Linked DNA regions of Caenorhabditis elegans. The protein of the gene in region 1 purifies or fractionates together with the protein of each later gene. This does not show direct contact. Each region holds a gene or a part of one and is shown on either strand. Other genes may lie near its edges. The genes, in order: F53C3.1 and fbxa-171.

Region 1 (8,308 bases):
AAACATTGGCTCAACGGATCCAATCGACGACTTACTAACGCTTATTTTATTTATACAACACCGCTAGTTTCAGAGGATATTTCAAAAGGATTGCCTTTTAGCATTCCGTCCGAAGCTGAAATCTCCAAGCTTCCGAGTGATCTTATGGAACATCGAGAAACAATGTTCCAGTTGAAGAGGAAATTCGACTCAACCGCGACAATTGTGTTGAAGCAAAATAATGGTAAACACGTTTTTAACATGTTTGTGGAACATTTTTGAATAATAAGCACCGCGCAAATAAGAGCGCCGCTGACCAATCAGCTGTCTCGGCCACGCCCATTATTGATGGCTGATTGGTCGGCGCCTTTCTTTTACTTTTTTGAAATTCCTCTAGAACCTCCACTTCCCAATTTTGAGCATTTTAATATATTCCCCGTCTTTCAATTGTCAACTGATTTTTTTTTGCAATTTTCCCGCAATGTTCCCATTTTTAATAAACCGTTCATTAATTTAAAATGCTCAATTATTTCAAGAAAATTCAATTTATGTTCTTCCTTGATAAAATGCGTGGAATCCAAGTGGAATTCTTGCTTCTGGAATTGTGTATCTTGCGATCTCAGTCAGATTTTTAGCTTCAAGAATTAGGACGAACGGACGTTGGCCATCGCTTATCGTCATCACTGGGACGATGAGAATTCCTAAAATTTATGAAATTTCAAGTTTCTCAAAAACTTCAAAAGCTTTCAAAAATCTTACCGTCATCTTCCCGAACCCCTTCGGGATTGGGCACAAAAATGGGCTCTCCGCAGATTTGTTTATCATTTTCGCGACGCCACACTTTGTGATCTCCGTTCTCTAAATCGGCTTTCACGATTCCGGGAAGAGTTTCAGACTTTTGTGCTCCAAGTACACTTGAGCCATACACGTAGTTGTACGGCTTCATGTTGATCTTTTCCCAGTGATAACGAGGGAATTCCATAGCTGAAAATAGAGGTTTCGGGTGAGTTCAAAATTGTCTGGCAACCTGCCTTCGAGGTGAGCTAGGTGTTCAATCTACTCCTAATTTTAAGGCACCATGCCTACGCCTAGTTTCGAGGTACTCTAGGCCTACTCTGCGACCTATACCTATCTTCAACGCCTGCCCTCAAGACAACCTACGTCTGAGGTAGGCAGACACTCAGGTATACAGAAGTGTTTCTTTTCAACTTACAAATATCACAAACTCGCTTCTCCTTCAGTCGAATCTTCCCATCATCCTGGAAGATTGCAGAGCATCCCTTAGCCCAGCCCAACGGCTTCAGCAGATCATCACCCGGCTGGGCACCGTCTGGAATTGACAGAGGAATAATGACCCTGGTGAGGTACGGCAGGAAGAGAGCATCCTAAAAACAAAAAGTATAATTATGCCCCTATTAAAAATTAAAAATGCCTACGTTTTGGAAATTTCCCGTCTTCATGTTCTCAATCAACAAAGCGTCAAAATTCCCGGCTTGCTCAATTCTACAGTAATCCACTACCAGACATCCATCTCTTTCAAACGTGTTGGCATGATGGAATGTGAAGAATGGAGCCATTTTCAGCTTCAGAGGTACTTGCTCCCCGGTCTTCTTATTTAAAATGAAAATTTTCACATCTTTATCGGCATGCCATTTCATGCAATCCCGAAATGTCGTGGTGATGAACCTTTTCATAATAAACTTTTTGATATCAATTCGAATCGGTGACTCGAACATTATCAAATAATTTTCCGACATTCCAAAGCTATGCATATACGTTGGGTAGAAGGTCTCGGAGCATCGGATCTCGCCAATTTTCGTGGTGTGCTCCCAGGAGCGATCGCTGTCTGATTGTAGGTTTTTGGGGTTTTTAGTGACAGTGAAGACATGGGCTGCATCCGGTCCGAATCTGGAGCCAATGTTGTAGACGTCGCCGTTCTCATCGAACAGTTGATGAGCGGTGCACGTGTGAAGTGCCACGTATTTGGAGAAGTCAACCTGAAAAAAAGAAGGGAGTTTCTGGTTTCCGCGACTGGTCAAAGGTGCAAGGTAGGCGTATAGGAACAAGGCAGTAGGCAGGCATGGGATTGCACAACAGTAGGCAGGCGTGCAGCTACAAGGTAAAAGACATGAGTGGTGTAAGTAAATGGCAGCAGCAGCAGACTTGTAGAAACAAGGCAGTAGGTATGCAAAAAGGTAACATGCACTAGACAGGTAAGTATGTACAGGGCAGTATGTAGGCATGTAGGTAAGAGAATGTAGGCAGGCATGTAGGCCCAAGGTAGTAGGCAGGCGTGTAGGTTCACTTACCGGTTCCAAAGTATCCAGCGAATCGAGATCAACTCTATGCATATTCGGGGTCTCTGTACACGCGTACAAACCATCTCCGACTGGGGCGAATGCCACGTTGGCGTTATCATGAATACCCTCGCTTTGCACAAAACTTGAGAAAAATCTTGAGAAAATCGATTTACACGGATCCGGGAAGGATGCGGTTCCGAAACTTCCAGTCACAATTCTCTGCGCCTCCATGTTTTTTTTATAGTTTTCCGATTCAAGATAGCGAGCCGAGTAGTACATCTAAAACCAGAAACTCACTTATATGTAAATTTATATTTCCACTTACCTTCCCATCCTCAAAATGATATCTCTGAATGAATCCCATACCATCAAACCAATGCTGATACTTAGTATCCCCAATCTCAAACATTCCAGGTCCATTTCGAAGCATTGTTCCTTTGAGGTAACTTGGAACCGAGCCAGACGTTGAGCATAACTTAGGCTCGATCACATTATCGAAATTGTGGAAAAGCCGAGCGAATCCTTCCTTTTCCATGCTGTCTGGAAATGGTAAGGTTTGGGAAATAAAAATTATTCGAGCTTTTAAGTACGCCTCGCGGGCTCGGAAATCTGTAATATTTTTTCTAAATTAAAATTTTGGCAGTTTGAAGAAGCGGCCGACATCTCGCCGGTTCAGAAATTGCCTGTACTGATAGAAATAAAAATAGATACTCGAAACATGTAAAATTCAAGAAATAGTGTAAAATTTCGAGGATTTGAAGATGCAGCCGACACCTCACGGGTTCAGAAATTTTCTCAAAGTTCACAGACCTCCCCACCCGTAAATAGTCGGCTGCTATAGAAATTTAGAACCGAGAAAAGTAAAACATGTAAACTTATAATAGTCAGAAAATTTAGAAAGTTAGTTTGTCAAACAAGTAAACCGATGGCCGGTCTACGTGTTAGATAACACAATCAGATAGTGAAAAAAAAAGAAACCAAAAGTCAGTTATCGAAGAAAAAAAATGTAAAATCAAAAAACTAGTAGAAAACCCGTTCCAATTTATACCCTTTTCTCAAACTCCACCCATTTTTCCACGTTTCTATAACATCATATGCGTCACTCATCTGTTATCTAAAAAACTCCAAGAAAAATTGAAAAATTGCACTGAAAACATAGAGAAATAGAGTGTAAAAGTGGCTTGTTTACCTTGTGTATCTCCTCTCGTAGAAGGCAGAGAATCAGAGAACTGGGCATATACTCTAGGTCACAAAGGAGTTTGTGACGGGGTCGGCACAGAAAAAATAGAGAAAATGGTGTTTGGGGAAATGTGACACCGAAATTTCTTATGAGGTGACAATTAATCATTCTGGCTGGCAACGAAGAAGCCGGAAAACTGGAGAATCAGAAAATCGAAAAAAACTGAAAGTTTCTGGTTTATTATTTTTTGAAGCAGCCGACATCTCCCTGTTTCACAGTACCACGGAAAGTTCAAATTTTTAGAAAATTGAATATAGTTTTTCAGGGCAACTTCCAGAAAACTGGCATGTTTCATTTTTTATTTGTAGTCTAAAACTTTTTTGAAAATCGGAAATAAATAAATTAAATTAATAAATGAATACAAACTTTAAAAATTTAAAAATATTTACGTGATCACGTAACTCTCGTGGGTTTTTTTCAAAGGTCGTGTTTTCTTATCGGGACGAAAAATCTCCAAAAAATTTTATTACTTTATAATTGCACAATAAAGATAGAAAAATTCAATCAGGATGTCGCAAGAAGAGGAAGATGATATCAATTTCAAAACTGTAAGTTTTTTTTAAATCTTTGGAAGTTGCGTGAAATTTATATGCTGAATTTCAGGGATCCGAAATCAGCAGTAGCAAGGCCACCTACACCGTCGTTCGTCTTCTCGGAGAAGGAGGATTTGGTGCAGTGTACCTCGTCGAGCAAGCCAAGACCAAGAAGCAATTTGCAATGAAAGTCGAGAAAAAGATGGACACTAGAAAACACTCAAAACTGAAAATGGAAATTGCAATCTTGAAACTTGTTGGGACTTGTAAGCATTTCACAAAGATTGAGGATCGTGGGAAAAAGGATAAAGAAGGATATTTCTTTATTGTCATGCAACTTGTTGGCAAAAGTTTGTCGGGTTTGAAGAAGGAACGTCCCAATCAGATTTTCACGTTTGGTACAGGAATGGGTAAGCATTTTTTTTGTTAGATAAAGTGGTCGAAGCCTAAGCCTAAGCGTAAGCCTAATTATAAGCCTAAGCCTAAGCCTAAGCTTGAGCTTAAGCCTAGGCCTAAGTCTAAGGCTAAGCTAAGCCCAAGTCTAAGCCTAAACTACAAAATTTCAATTTTTCAGGCGTCGGAAGTCAATGTTTGGAAGCTGTTGAGGAGCTGCACAAGCAAGGATTCATCCATCGCGACCTGAAACCCCAAAACTATGCCAGTGGGCAGGATGATGAAAGACATCTCATATACATTCTGGATTTCGGAATTGCTCGCAAGTACCTGAACGATAAGAAGGAGATGAAGACGCCAAGGGAGTCGGTTGCGTTCAAGGCGAGTGTAGGCACATAGGCAGGCATTTTGAACTTAAACTATTTTCAGGGAACCATCCGCTTCGCCCCGCTCTCCTGCCACCGTTACACCGAGATGGGGCCAAAGGATGATTGTGAGAGTTGGTTCTACCTTCTCATCGACCTGATTCTCGAGGGAGGACTTCCATGGCGTCACTGCAAAGTCAAGAACGAGGTGCTGAAGATCAAGGAGAACACACGGAAAGATAACCGAGCGGCTCTGTACAAGGGTATTCCGCAGACCTCCGAGCTCAACAAGATTCTGGATTACATTGACTCGAGAGCCTACCAGGATCGTATCGACTATAAGTTCATCTACAAAGCGCTGGGAGAGGTAATATTATTTGGACGTTGACCAATCGGCGACGTTGACCACACCTCTAAATTTATTCCGACCAATTACAGGCTTGCTCCAACGCCGGATGTGACATCAATGCACCATACGACTGGGAGATGCCCAAAGAAATTTCTGGAACTAGTACTGAAACTGCTAAATCTATGAAGAAATAAATGTTCGAGATTTTGATTCTTTGGTAAATAAATTTGAGTGTTGATTTTTGTGTTGTTGATTATTGATTATTGAAACTGCCGAGTATTTTTAATCCAATTTTCACAAATTTTCAGACAAATTTCTTCAAAAACCCCCTGAAAAAGACCAAAAGTTGTTTTTAACTTCTGATTCAGAAGCTACTCATTCACATGATTACATGCTTCACCTCCTCATCAGACACAGCCCGCTAATTGCATTAAAATTTGGACAGATGAGCTTTTGAATGAAGAACTTGGTGACTTTTTGTGACGAGAAAACGAAGAAAGGGTGACTACATAAAATTTGGAAGTAGTTGTTAAAATTCGAAAATAAATCGAAAACAGGAATTATATTTTTGAATTGATGTGAGAGCTGAGCTATACGTCATAAGGTGCCTTTTTTAGAGGAGTTCCAAAATTAACGTAAAATTATTGAAAGTCAATAAATGAAAATCAATAATCATTAATTGAACATCGAGTGTTAAAAATCAATAATAAAAAATCGATTATTGGAAATTGATAATCGGAAATCGATAATCATTGATGGTCAAAACTTTAATTTTCAAAAAATAAATTTTGAAACCAAAAACTATCAAAGTTTGAGGAAATCATCAAAAACCGGGCAAGTAGGGATTAAAACGTCTGAAAACAAAACTTATTCTTTGAAGATCAGAGGATTATTTGTGAAACAGCAAACTCAAGAATCCAGGCGTCATTTCTCATAAATCTGGACTTATAAAGTTGAGCGGGTTCAAAAATACGCGGCAGCAGCAAAGATGAATAATACCTTTTTGATTTCCGGAAAGTTGAACAGTTCCAAAACAATTTTTGTTTCACGGTTTTAGTTCTCAGTGCTCCGTAGTCACAAACTCTAAATAATTCTAGAGCTCATCAAAAAGAGGTAGGCCGGTTTATCGACTTACCATGCATTGCCTAATTTTTAAAAATCTACAAAATCCTATAGTCCGGGATTTTATAATCTACGTATCTAACTGGAATTGGTTTCATTTTTTGGAAAAATAAGAACTGTATGCGAGTTAGCTTTTTTCGGAGCTTACTTTTCTGGGGTTGACTACCCCACTTCTAATAAAAAGGTCTCAAGAAATATGTTCCAAATTTGGGTCAAGTTTAAAAAATGTTCAGCCCCCATGTAGCTTCAGAGTTTCACTTGGAATATGCCGATTTTCAGTTGGAGTTACAGAGAATCCAGCTGGAGATTTCAATTTTCTGATGACGTTTGTTTTGAGCCACCCAAAACTTTTTACATTTTGTGTTCTGCTGAAAAATGCTCTCGAAACCCTAATGACCGCTTTTGCATAGGTCAGCTTGCAAATGTCATTTCTATATCTGTATAGAACCTTTCTTACGTAGCCTTCTCGAAATTTATGAAAATGGCAACCTTTTGCCATGCTACTGCAATCTGAACAAAAGAGCACACACCAAAATGAAAACAGGTTTAAAAAAAATCAGTTTATTTATTTTTACTAAATATTTACAACATAGAAAGTGCAAAAAAAAAAATGAAATCCGTAAATTAAGCCCATTTTGGAGAGGTTGACACAAGTGAGGTGAATCAAGGAGTACTGTAGCTTAGGAGGCTACTGTAGTTGAAGGAGTACTGTAGATGAGCTGGCGTCTTCTGAATCCACGGCGACAAAGGTCAATTGGACAAGTCATAGGTTCTTGGTGAATATGGAACATTTTGAGGAGAATCTCAAAGCCAAGAGGAAATCTTGCTCTTGAAAAAAACGTCTCGCATTTATATAAGGAACTCCTCTCTAAACTCCGCCCAGTTTTTCGGCTTGACTGGAACTCAGATTATGAGCCATCGAAGCTTAAAGCAAAAACAAAATAAACAAAAAGTGATAGATTGAAGATCAGAGCACTTTTTGGAGATAATAGGAAGATAATCTAATAAATGGATTTGGAAATAATCCGAAACAATTTGAAAAGGAAAACGTGGCGCTTTATTTTGCACTGATGATGTTTTGTAAGATGACACATATATCACAAATATATCTCTTTTAGTAAGTTTGTTAATATTTGATAATTCGAATTAGGTTACGTACACCCTGTTTCGTCACACTTTTGGAAGCTGTTTTTTCCAGCGAGGAATGTGTGAGTTCAACTCTCCACCACGGGAAAATTTTTTGCAAATTTTTTCGTCCCAAAAAAAAATGAAAAAAAAAATGAGGAAAATTCATGATTAGAATTCTGAGTTTAAACTGACTCAAAGAAATTAGAAAAATTTTGAAAATTTTTCAAGCCAAAGATGAAGGCAAGAATTTTAGAAGGGAAAATAGCTTAAAATCATAATTTCAACCCACACATCACTTATGTCCATACTTATAGCTCAAAACAACAACGATTTTCGTGGAATCCGGATCATGGCCAAAAATTAAAGCAAGTCAGACCTTTTTTTCGTCGGAAATAAACAACAAATTCGGTTTCCCGGTGCTTTTAAGGCACGATTAATTGGAGATTTTTGATCAGATACTATAATGCCTGCCTAGTGCCTACATTGAAAGCCATAAGGCAGGCATGGGAACAGGTGCATAAGCATGCATTAATGAGATAGGCAGGAAACAGGCGCCTAGGCAGCAGGTAGGTATGTGTTATGCACGTAGGCAGATATCTAGGCGTAGGCAGGCAGACGTACCTAAGAAAGTTCAGCTCAAATTTGTTTTTATTTTTCAGGCAATAATCCTTCACGTACGTAAACGAAGTCATCACTATTTTGAAAATTGCTACTACTCCCACAAATCTTCTAAAATCCCTTTGTATCATGTGCATGTGAACGCAAATAAAAACGCATTTCCTTATTTTTCGCAGTTTTTTTTTCTGAGAAAACAAATTTCATTTTTAAAGGTTTGCGGGGGATTTGTCTTAAAATGATCTAATCGGTCATATTTAGATTTAGAATATAGTGAAGTTTGA
Region 2 (9,646 bases), on another chromosome or scaffold:
AGCTTAACTCTCAATCCCCGTAAGCTAAAATCTGAAAATGAAGAAAACTTACACTTGAAACTTAGAAATTCTCCTGGGTCTTCTGACCGCTACCAAAATGAAGATGAGTACTTTCCCGTCTACAACCAGCTCAAAGAGCTTATTCAAGAACTGAAAGATAAACAAGACCCAGTGTTGGTTTAACGTGTTGGCTCCCAAATGTTACAGTTAAAAATTTTCAGAAAACCCGTTACAGAACCCGTAAAACCATTTGAAAGCAATAGGAAAGTACTGTGGGGTTATATATTTTTCGAATGCTCTCAGAGTAATTCAATTTTTGAGGCTTATGAGAAAATGTGTGAAACTGTTGGAAAAAATGCAGTCAAGTACTGGGAGTTTGAATATTGGTATCAGAAGATTAAGGCAGGGGATTCCAGTATGGAATCTGACATTGAGTAAGTTTTGAGTTAATTTAACATTACCCACAATCTGCTCATTTTTCATATTTCAGTTTTGACAAAGAGATCCGATCAATGTCCGCAATGCCTATAGACATAGTTGGTGAGATAATGAACAAACTGGAATTAGAAGAAAAGTGTGTTTGATATCTGTGTACAAATCTATTAAACAAATTTTTCAGACTATTGATGCGAAAAGTTTCGAAGAGTCTTCGTGGCTTTATGGATAATCTGAACATTGGTGTCCGAAAAATTAGTCTAAAAATCTACAATACAAAATCAATTTTGCAATTTGATGAAAAGGAAGTGATCTATCAGGACAAAAAGGATGACTGTAATTTGTTGCTCAATGATCAAGAAAAACTTGTGAAAGGTGGAAACTATACAATAATGGCTTTGCATGATTGGTCAGTGGTCATGCAAAACCAGACACTGAAGCTCAAAACACTTAATTTAACGTTGGCATTGGGAAAATCTGAGCATTATCATAACTGCTACACAACTATCACGACTGTTGTCAAAAAGGCAATATGTTTGTTTGTAGAGAAAATCACACTTGAAGGATTCCAATTCAAGGAAGTTTATGACGTTCTAAGGAACTTTAAACCAGGAGTACTTGAAAAGATTGTACTTAACTCACCAACAGGCAGCAAAGGTATAGAATTGCTAATTCATATGAACCAATGGAAACAAGCCCGAGTATTTGAAAGCAGCCGAAACTGCATACTTGCAATGCCAATTGAGAATTTTTTTCGCTTCTCGAGATTTGACGTTTCCCTGAAATCTCTATCAAAGTTAGATGCGGTATTGATCCGAGAGGTTAGCAAAGATCTAATATAACATTTTTATTCAAAGAATTATTATAGAAACTGCTAAAGTCCAGTAATTTTAAACGTGGATGCTTCAGAATGTTCAACTATGATCCAATTGAAATTTTGAACGTATTTGAGCAAAATTATTCAGGAGGAACGTCTGGATCAATCACCTACAATGATGAAGAGTCGGAGTTCAGAATTCATTTTGATACAATGAACTTTGAAATTATTAAGTGTATCTGATTAAAAATTTTACTTTGTTGGGTGTTTTACTTTGTCTAGAAATTGCAGTATCAATGTGAAGCGTCTTAGGCACAGTAATATGAACTTTCAGATCCGAAGGAAAAATGAGGAGAACAGAACTCTCTGCCAATAATTGTTCACACATGATATGTTTCAACCTGATAAACTTTAATATAATCTGTTTTAATTTTTTTTTGTTCCTATGTTGTTGGAATTTTTTTGAAATTACGTTTGATTTTAAAAATAAGAAAGTAAATTGTTCATAAAAAGTAATCATACATTCTCCATTCGTTCGACTTATCATCATTTTTCAGAGCACATGGAAAAAGAGTTTCGGCAATTCTTTAGTCTCTTTGTCGTACAACTTCGTTTTTATCACCCGTGTTAAAAAAGAGAATCAAGCAGAAAAAACGAAAACGGTAAATGATAAGAGTTTTTTTTTTCAATACACACATGTTGTTTTACAATAAACATCGTGGAGAGTTTTTTTTCAATTCAATTTCTCTTCAAAATTTTTCAGTTTTTTATTGTCTCAATTTCAATTTTTGCTCGTGGTTTAAGCAATGCATGTTTTGCAGTATGTCCACAATAACAAGTTAATTCTTTTAGATAGTTGAAGTTGTAAAAAATGGATGAGTCCTCTGGGAAAAATACCACGAAAAACTGTGAAAAAACACCTGAATCACCGTGAGTTGTTCTGCAATTTTCAAGCAAAATTAGTTAGTTTTTTTTAATGTTTCAGAGTCCACACGCTTTGTTCGTCTCAAAGTGAGAAAAATCAATATCTTGGAAGTCACAAAAAACATGATTCATTGAATGATATTTTGGTTTGAGAGAAAAACATTAAAGCTGAACAAAAAAAAATTCAGGGAATGTCGTGTTCACCGGAAAGGATGCCCGTGAATCGTACACCAATAATTCCAGAGTGAGAAGAAGTTTCTTCATTAAAACATAAATAGCCACAATTTCCGTTTCAATTAAAACAATTATTATTTCTGACTGCTTATCTTCTGAAAATTAATAAGTTTAAAACACAAATATTTCAAGACCAATATTCCAAGTGGCTGTAACTATACCAAACAGTCAAATTGCAATCCGCGCGTGTATCCTTTATGAGCATCTTCACGGGAAGATGCTTACAGTGGCATATAGAAACTTCTGCGACAAAGTTGGGAATGGTGTCATTGAATTTGAGTCTTTTGAGTTTTGGTTTAATCAATTCCAAACTGGGAATCATGATTTGAGATATGATATTGAGTAATAAAAAAAACAATGATATTTGGACTATGGTTAAACTTTAGAAATTCAGGAATGCGCTTGAACCTCGTTCTTTGGCAGAAATCACTTCTACAGCCATGGCTTCTGGTGTGCTTTAGTAGAGCTGTAAGTCTTGTGAAGGTTGTAGGGAGTAATTGGGATATTCAGATCCGAAAGCAAATCAAGGAAATGTTTGGATGGAGCTCAGAGCAGCATATTGTCCAAATTCGATCTATTACAAGCTGAACAGTATTGTTTATGTACTGTTGAAAAATATATGTATGATTGCTACAACATAAAAGAGTTAAAAGTTATTTTATAAAAATCCGAATCGATAAAATTATATTATCCGTTTAACTTGAAATGAATTAGGAGTAATTTTCAAAAGGAATTTTTTGTTGTGTCGTGTGTAATTTATTATCGGCCATTGATTGCTTTGATATCCTGGTACGAATACATTTGCAATTTCAATTGGATCGAAGTCGTCGGATTCGAAGTTTGCATATTTGAAAGTGTCGGATTTCATCAAAATCTGAAACTATGTTAATTGTTTATACTTGAAGCGTAAAGTCTGCAGCAAATGCCTAAGCCTAAGCCTAAACTCCTAAGCTCAAGAGTAGTATAAGTCCCACACGACACCCCCATCCCACACCAGACCCCCCTATTGACCTCTCCCAAAATGGGGTGTCCATCTATGGATGTCCATTTATGGATGGCCATCGTTTTTTATTGATCTGTTTTTTTCGTTTATCATGGAACTGTTTTTTATTAGGAAAAAATGTTGTACTGTATGGGAGAAAATCTGAAATTAAAAAATATTTGAAATCGAGTATGTGGAATAAAATGTTTTCATTTACACTTTTAATATGTTTCATTGTGCACCCCTCCTCTCTATTACTCCGCCCCACTGCACAATCGAAAATCTCATAGTCAGTCTAAAGAAATTTAGAACATCATTATCCAAGTTGACACTTTCACGACAACAAGCCCCTACACTGAAAGTCATAACTCCTGGCCCTTCATATGGAGCTTGCAAGAAAACTTAGGTCATCCGAAAGCTGTGTGCACTATTAAAGAAATTTCTTTAGAATGAGTTTTTTGATTGTGCAGTGGGGCGGAGTAATAGAGAGGAGGCGTGCACAATGAAACATATCAAAAATGTAAATGAAAACATTTTATTCCACATACTCGATTTCAAATATTTTTTTAATTTCAGATTTTCTCCCATACAGTACAACATTTTTTTCTAATAAAAAACAGTTCCATAAAAAACGAAAAAAAAAACAGATCAATACAACAGAACAATAAAAAACGATGGCCATCCATAAATGGACATCCATAGATGGACACCCCATTTTGGGAGAGGTCAATAGGGGGGTCTGGTGTGGGATGGGGGTGTCGTGTGGGACTTATACTACTCTCAAGCGTGAGCCTAAGTCAAAAACTTCAGACTTAAGCTTCTTGGTGACCTATACGTCTCTCTGTGAAAATTCGCGTTGATCGGCCAACTGGAACCCTCTCAAAAATTTTAAAAAAAAACGGGAAATTCTTGAGCCTAAATACCGTCAGTGGCGAGCGTTAGATTGGCAAGCGTCAGCTCGCCAAGCCTAAGCCTGAGCCTAAACCTAAGCCTGAGTTTAGAATAAGATTATGCTTAGAACTGACCCTAAGACTAAACCTAAACCTAAGTCTAAGCCTAATCCTAACCCCTGAACCATTCAAAACTTACATCTCGAATTTTAATCGCATCATCTTTTGCGAAAAGATCCACAGTAACGTCAAAATAAGCTAGATGGAAGAACTTTTCAATGTTCATGGAGCAAGTGTCACTGTCAAAAATTAAAGCTTTTGCATTTTTCAGCTGAACTGTATCCATTAATTTTGTGCTATGGCCGTCTGTAGAAGAGGCAAAAAAGTGAACAACTTCGAGCGTTTTAGGCTCGAAGTACGGCAGGATTGCGTCGATTTCTTCGTTTTTCAATTCACAAACTAGTTTTCGGACTCGTAATTTGTTCATCGATCTCAAGACGTTCAATACATCGTTGAAAATGTTTTCCCGAATTTGCTCAGACATTTGTGCTTCAAAAAGTACGGAAAATGTTCGTGCGTCTTTAGTCACTACTGTATTGAAATCTTGAAGCGCTATTTTCCGATAATCTGTTCCTTTGATTTGAATTTTTCTGTTCTCGTAGATAATTGTGCATCCGTTTGGTACTGGGCAGTAGTTGACGGTTCTTTCGTTCAAAAATAGTCTTGCTTCATCTTTTTCGAAACATATTCCCATGGCGTTAAAATGAAATTCTTGTTGGTCAATTTTGTCACGGAGAATGCGCGAAACTTTTCTGGCCACGAATCTTGAAAAATTTTGGATTGAAACCATATTGACTTTTAGATGAAATTTATGCCATTTGAGAAATCGTTAAAAACATTTTTGGTCAAACATTTGTTTTAATTGTTTTTTGAAAACTTCCCAAAATTCATTTTTTCGGAGACATTTCAAGGTGTTTCTATAGTTGTAAAACTTCATAAAAAGACGATGAAAAAAAATACTTTGATGGAAAAACTCATCTGAATAATTCATATCTACTTTATTGCTACAATTTTTGCATAAGGACCTTTTTTGAATTACATGGGGTGTGTATAGAAGTCTATGACCACACGGTAAATATCATACTTTCTTTATAAAATCTCACCTATCGCAAAGTTCCATTTTGGCACAAATTTCATTCCAAACTTTTTCCGGCATATTCTGCAGGGAAGGTTCTTGTGGCTCACTGAAAAACATTAAAATTTTCTGTAAAGAAGCTTAGCACTTACCCATTAAAATATTCGACGAACTTCCTGCACCACTCTTTTTCGGAAATTTTGTGTGGAACGTCTGATGGTGGATTGATCGAGCAACGCAGATCATTGGAATTTCGTACTTCAATCTGCCTATTATCGTCCTGCAAGTCATGATTACCATTATAAAATCTATGAAACCAATATTCAAATTCTTTGTAGGCAATCTTCTCCTTCAAGGTGTTGCAAATTGTTTCATAGGCTTCATTCACAGTCTTTTTCTGGAGCACTTCGTAGAAAATACAAGATCGAATGAAGGTTTTGGAGTAAGGTTTTTGAGCGGTGGAAGTCATTTTGATATGATGCGCGCGGCAAAAAAATTACATCAAAATTTTAGACTTAGCAATATATCTTCACCGAATTCTTCAGTATTGACATTGGAGTTAGAGGGCACTTGCACTGCTGGAGAGTTAGTCAGAGAAAGGAGAACAGTCGAGCATGTTGTTTCGCAATAAAACATTTTTTTTTGTTGGGTTTATATGTCCTTCAGCAATTGCATTCTTGAACTGGCCTAAATAAGATGTCCTTGCAGATCCGGAAACAAACTGAGGGGAATGGAACTCTGTGCAACTACTTGCTCCACCTTCATATATTTCTAGCTGATGAACTGTAAAATAAATTTGTTTGTATTAGTTTTACCAACGTCTCTTTGACACTCGCCCATTCAAATAGTTACAACACCCTGTTCCATCCTCAGGGTTTTTCAGGATTTTCAAATTTTCGGCGATATGGGCCTACCGGCAAGCTTTTTCGAGATTTTTCCAGATATTAATGGTGTACCAATTTCCCAAACATTGAGTGGAAATTCCAAAAAATGGAAGACGATTGTTATAAGAAATGGTAAGAATATGATCTTAGTTACATTTTTGCGCATATTTCATCCCAATGGACGTTCTTGAAAATTTCTCACAATTTTCTGAAACAAACAAAAGATTTCAAACATTTTTGTGATATATTGCTAGCCACATTCGTCTAATTTTCCAAGTCACATTGTTCCAGTTTTGATATTGCTAATTTGGTAGACCTAATTCTGGTTTGATTCCTCAGTCTCTCTAGTCTCTTGGCGTTGTTGTATACGAACTGATATTATCTCCTCTGATCAAAAACCAAGTGTATTTGGCGAAAACACGCAATCCAAATAGGGATATAAATACGAAGAGAAGAAATTACCCCAAAAAGATCAGGCAAATCTACGGCAAATCAGTAAAGACTTTTTGTATTTTTCGTGGTTTTACTTCTCGATTTCAATTCAATTTATTTTTTGAAAGACTATTTTAAAGTGGTTCCGTCTATTTGTTTTTACATATGTAGTTTGGCTTTTGATCTTCTCCTTTCTAAAAATTGTATTCAATATTATGAGTTACTTTCCCTGCATTTTTCATTAAAAAGTATGTATTTGCCGCACATTCTCCATTCGTTCGACTTATCATCATTTTTTCAGAGAACATGAAAAAAGAATTTCTGCAATTCTTCAGTCTCTTTGTCGTACAACTTCGTTTTTATCTCCCGTGTTAAGAAAGAGAATCAAACAGAAAAACGCAAACAATAAAATTGATTTTAAAAAAACCGCTGTGACAACTCGTTTTCTCATAGCGCGTTGAAAAAATGCTTCTCGTTGTAATAGTTTATTCCAATTTAAATTTTTTTGATTTAGCAAGAAACGACTTTCTTAGTTCGTTTTTCAGATTATCCGAAAAACTAAACATTAGTAAAAATGGATGATCAGCTTGAAAAAAATTTAGAAGTAGGAGAATGGAAAAAATGTGAAGAAAAAGCAGAATCTCCGTGAGTTGTTTCGCAATTTTTCAGCAGAGTGAATTAAGTTTTTGTTAATTTCAGAGTTGGGAACCCTTTTCTACTTCATTATGATCACTTAAATCTTTGTGTTTGAATGCAAAAACACTGTTACTAATTAAGAGCGTAGTTTTTTAGGGAGGACCAACTAATTATGTGGGGATGCAAATTACACCAATAATTCCCAGGTGAGCAAAAATTCTTACATTAATACAGAAACAGCTGCAGTTCTACTACAATGGAACAATCAGTTGTTATATATACCGTATATTCTCTATTAGTGTTGTCGATTCAGCCCTTCGAGGTCAATCTCGACAACCTTTTTAACAGTGCTCTGATATAGGTTTCTACGGAATAGCCCACTATTCTTAACCTATATCAGCTCGACCGCACCGTTGAGCATTACTCCAATTATTATCTCTTCATTACATTTTATTTCATTCAAATCCGTTCAGTATTCGCCGAGATATAAATATATCTATAAATATTCGTATTCAAATCACGCGCCAACACCTTATGGTAGCGCGCTCGCGGCGAGACCCACGCGTCTCTAACTTCTTGGCATCGCGCCAAGTCCACCGACCGCCCGCGGGGAGTTCGAATATGTCCGTCAATTGTGACGTAATTGAATACCAATTCCGGTGTAATCTCCACGTATCGTTTTCCCTCACGTGCAGATATACCATCATGTTCGTTAGATTTATATCTTTAATAACAGTTTGAACTATTACCAGTCTAAATGACCCATTATCATCATTTCACCATCATATTCGCCAGACGAGGGTTTTTCACCATCTTAAGAACTTCTAATATCATCCTTATATGTTCTTTGCTGTATTTCCCTCATTTTACTTGTTTTTCCTATTTAGAGTCCTGCTCTACCCACACGGGAGAGGTTGTATAATAAATAGGTTTTTGAGTATTCCTTTGTTCGTCATACACCGCTTATCTTACACAATTCAGATGCTTTATCGGGACACACGGAGAGAGAGAGAGAGAGGTACCGGAGGCGTGATCGATACCGACTACTACCATCCTACACGCCCTCGACATGGTGCATCGAACCGGTGGACAAGGATCGACGTTTAAAAGGTAATCTTTCGTTCAAAAATCGATTAAAAATGCAAAAAATTTCGTCTAAAAATATCAAAAATTACCAAATTTATACCAAAATCTATCTTCAAAATTCCATTTTTCCAAAAAACTCTATCAAAATTCCTTTTTTTACCTAAAAAATCAATTAAAATCCAATTTCTATTCAAAAATCCATACCAAAATTGCATAAAAATCGATAATGAGCGGAAGATTTATTCTGAAACTCTCCTTGATTTCAACTATTCACAAAAAAGAACCCGTCGGACCGCTCTCTCCTCTCTGATGTACCTAGAAATCACTGAATTTCGAACAAATTACTCAATTATCCAAGTATATCCATCGAGTGTATCCTCAACATGATCCGAACGAGGAAATATTCCGTTGACTTCGAAAAAACTCTCAAGCGAATCGAGAAATCTATGCAAATCGATGATTTAGTAGAAAACTTCACTAAATCGAGCTGTATCGCTAAGAAGATCAGGCAAAAATGCCTCAAAATCGATTATCTGCTCAAAATTGTGTAGATTTATTATTTTTCTCATCAATTCTCACGAAAATTTCATGAAAATCATGCAAAATTCCCATTAAAATCCACTGAACCCCGATAAAATTCGTTGTTTACGCGTGACTACGGTAGACTTTTCTGTGCAACCTGACGTGCGGTGTATGCGTACATTTCGCCCCGCCCCCAATTTCGAATGAAAATATTTTCAATTTTTAGGCCAACAGCTGCCATTTATCGTCAGAACTACTTATTCCAGCACGGATTTCGAGTCGAAAATGCCAAAAAGTGAGTTTTACGTGATTATTTCATAAAATTTATGCAGAAAATTCGGAAAAATATCGAAAAAATCGACGAAATCTCGATTTCGGCCTAAAATTTTGGGATTTTTCGTTATAATTTTAGATTTTCCCCATTTCTTGAATTATTTCGATGATTTCTAAGCGAGAATACGCGTGGCCCTGTAATGTAACATCAAAATTACTTGAAATTCTCCGAAAAACTTGGAAAAATCGGAGAAAAACGAATTTCGAAACTTTTCGAAACTTTTCGAAAATCTGCAAGTCACCTCAAAAATCAATTTTATCAAGTTTTCAACAATCTTAAACTCTCTAATCGCCCTTAATATCAATATTAATCAATATTTGATTCCAGAACAACGA

What was found.
Region 2: the proteins of F53C3.1 (region 1) and fbxa-171 fractionate together in Caenorhabditis elegans (co-fractionation; one large-scale study listed by BioGRID). This does not show direct contact.

Annotation. Positions count from the first base shown.
Region 1 is NC_003280.10:3,908,019-3,916,326, forward strand, and holds F53C3.1 (Protein kinase domain-containing protein), read left to right. Parts: upstream 1-3,997; 5' UTR 3,998-4,028; coding exon 4,029-4,067; intron 4,068-4,122; coding exon 4,123-4,462; intron 4,463-4,626; coding exon 4,627-4,826; intron 4,827-4,874; coding exon 4,875-5,177; intron 5,178-5,248; coding exon 5,249-5,353; 3' UTR 5,354-5,367; downstream 5,368-8,308. Other genes in the region: fbxb-103 (F-box associated domain-containing protein), read left to right, coding at 1-261; bcmo-2 (Beta,beta-carotene 9',10'-oxygenase), read right to left, coding at 526-680, 739-963, 1,193-1,364, 1,416-1,976, 2,289-2,558, 2,605-2,814.
Region 2 is NC_003283.11:17,560,118-17,569,763, forward strand, and holds fbxa-171 (F-box domain-containing protein), read right to left. Parts: upstream 5,887-9,646; coding exon 5,570-5,886; intron 5,527-5,569; coding exon 5,446-5,526; intron 5,107-5,445; coding exon 4,482-5,106; intron 3,285-4,481; coding exon 3,093-3,284; downstream 1-3,092. Other genes in the region: fbxa-172 (F-box domain-containing protein), read left to right, coding at 1-19, 66-173, 222-434, 491-574, 620-1,256, 1,304-1,495; C38D9.2 (RING-type domain-containing protein), read left to right, coding at 9,263-9,272, 9,639-9,646.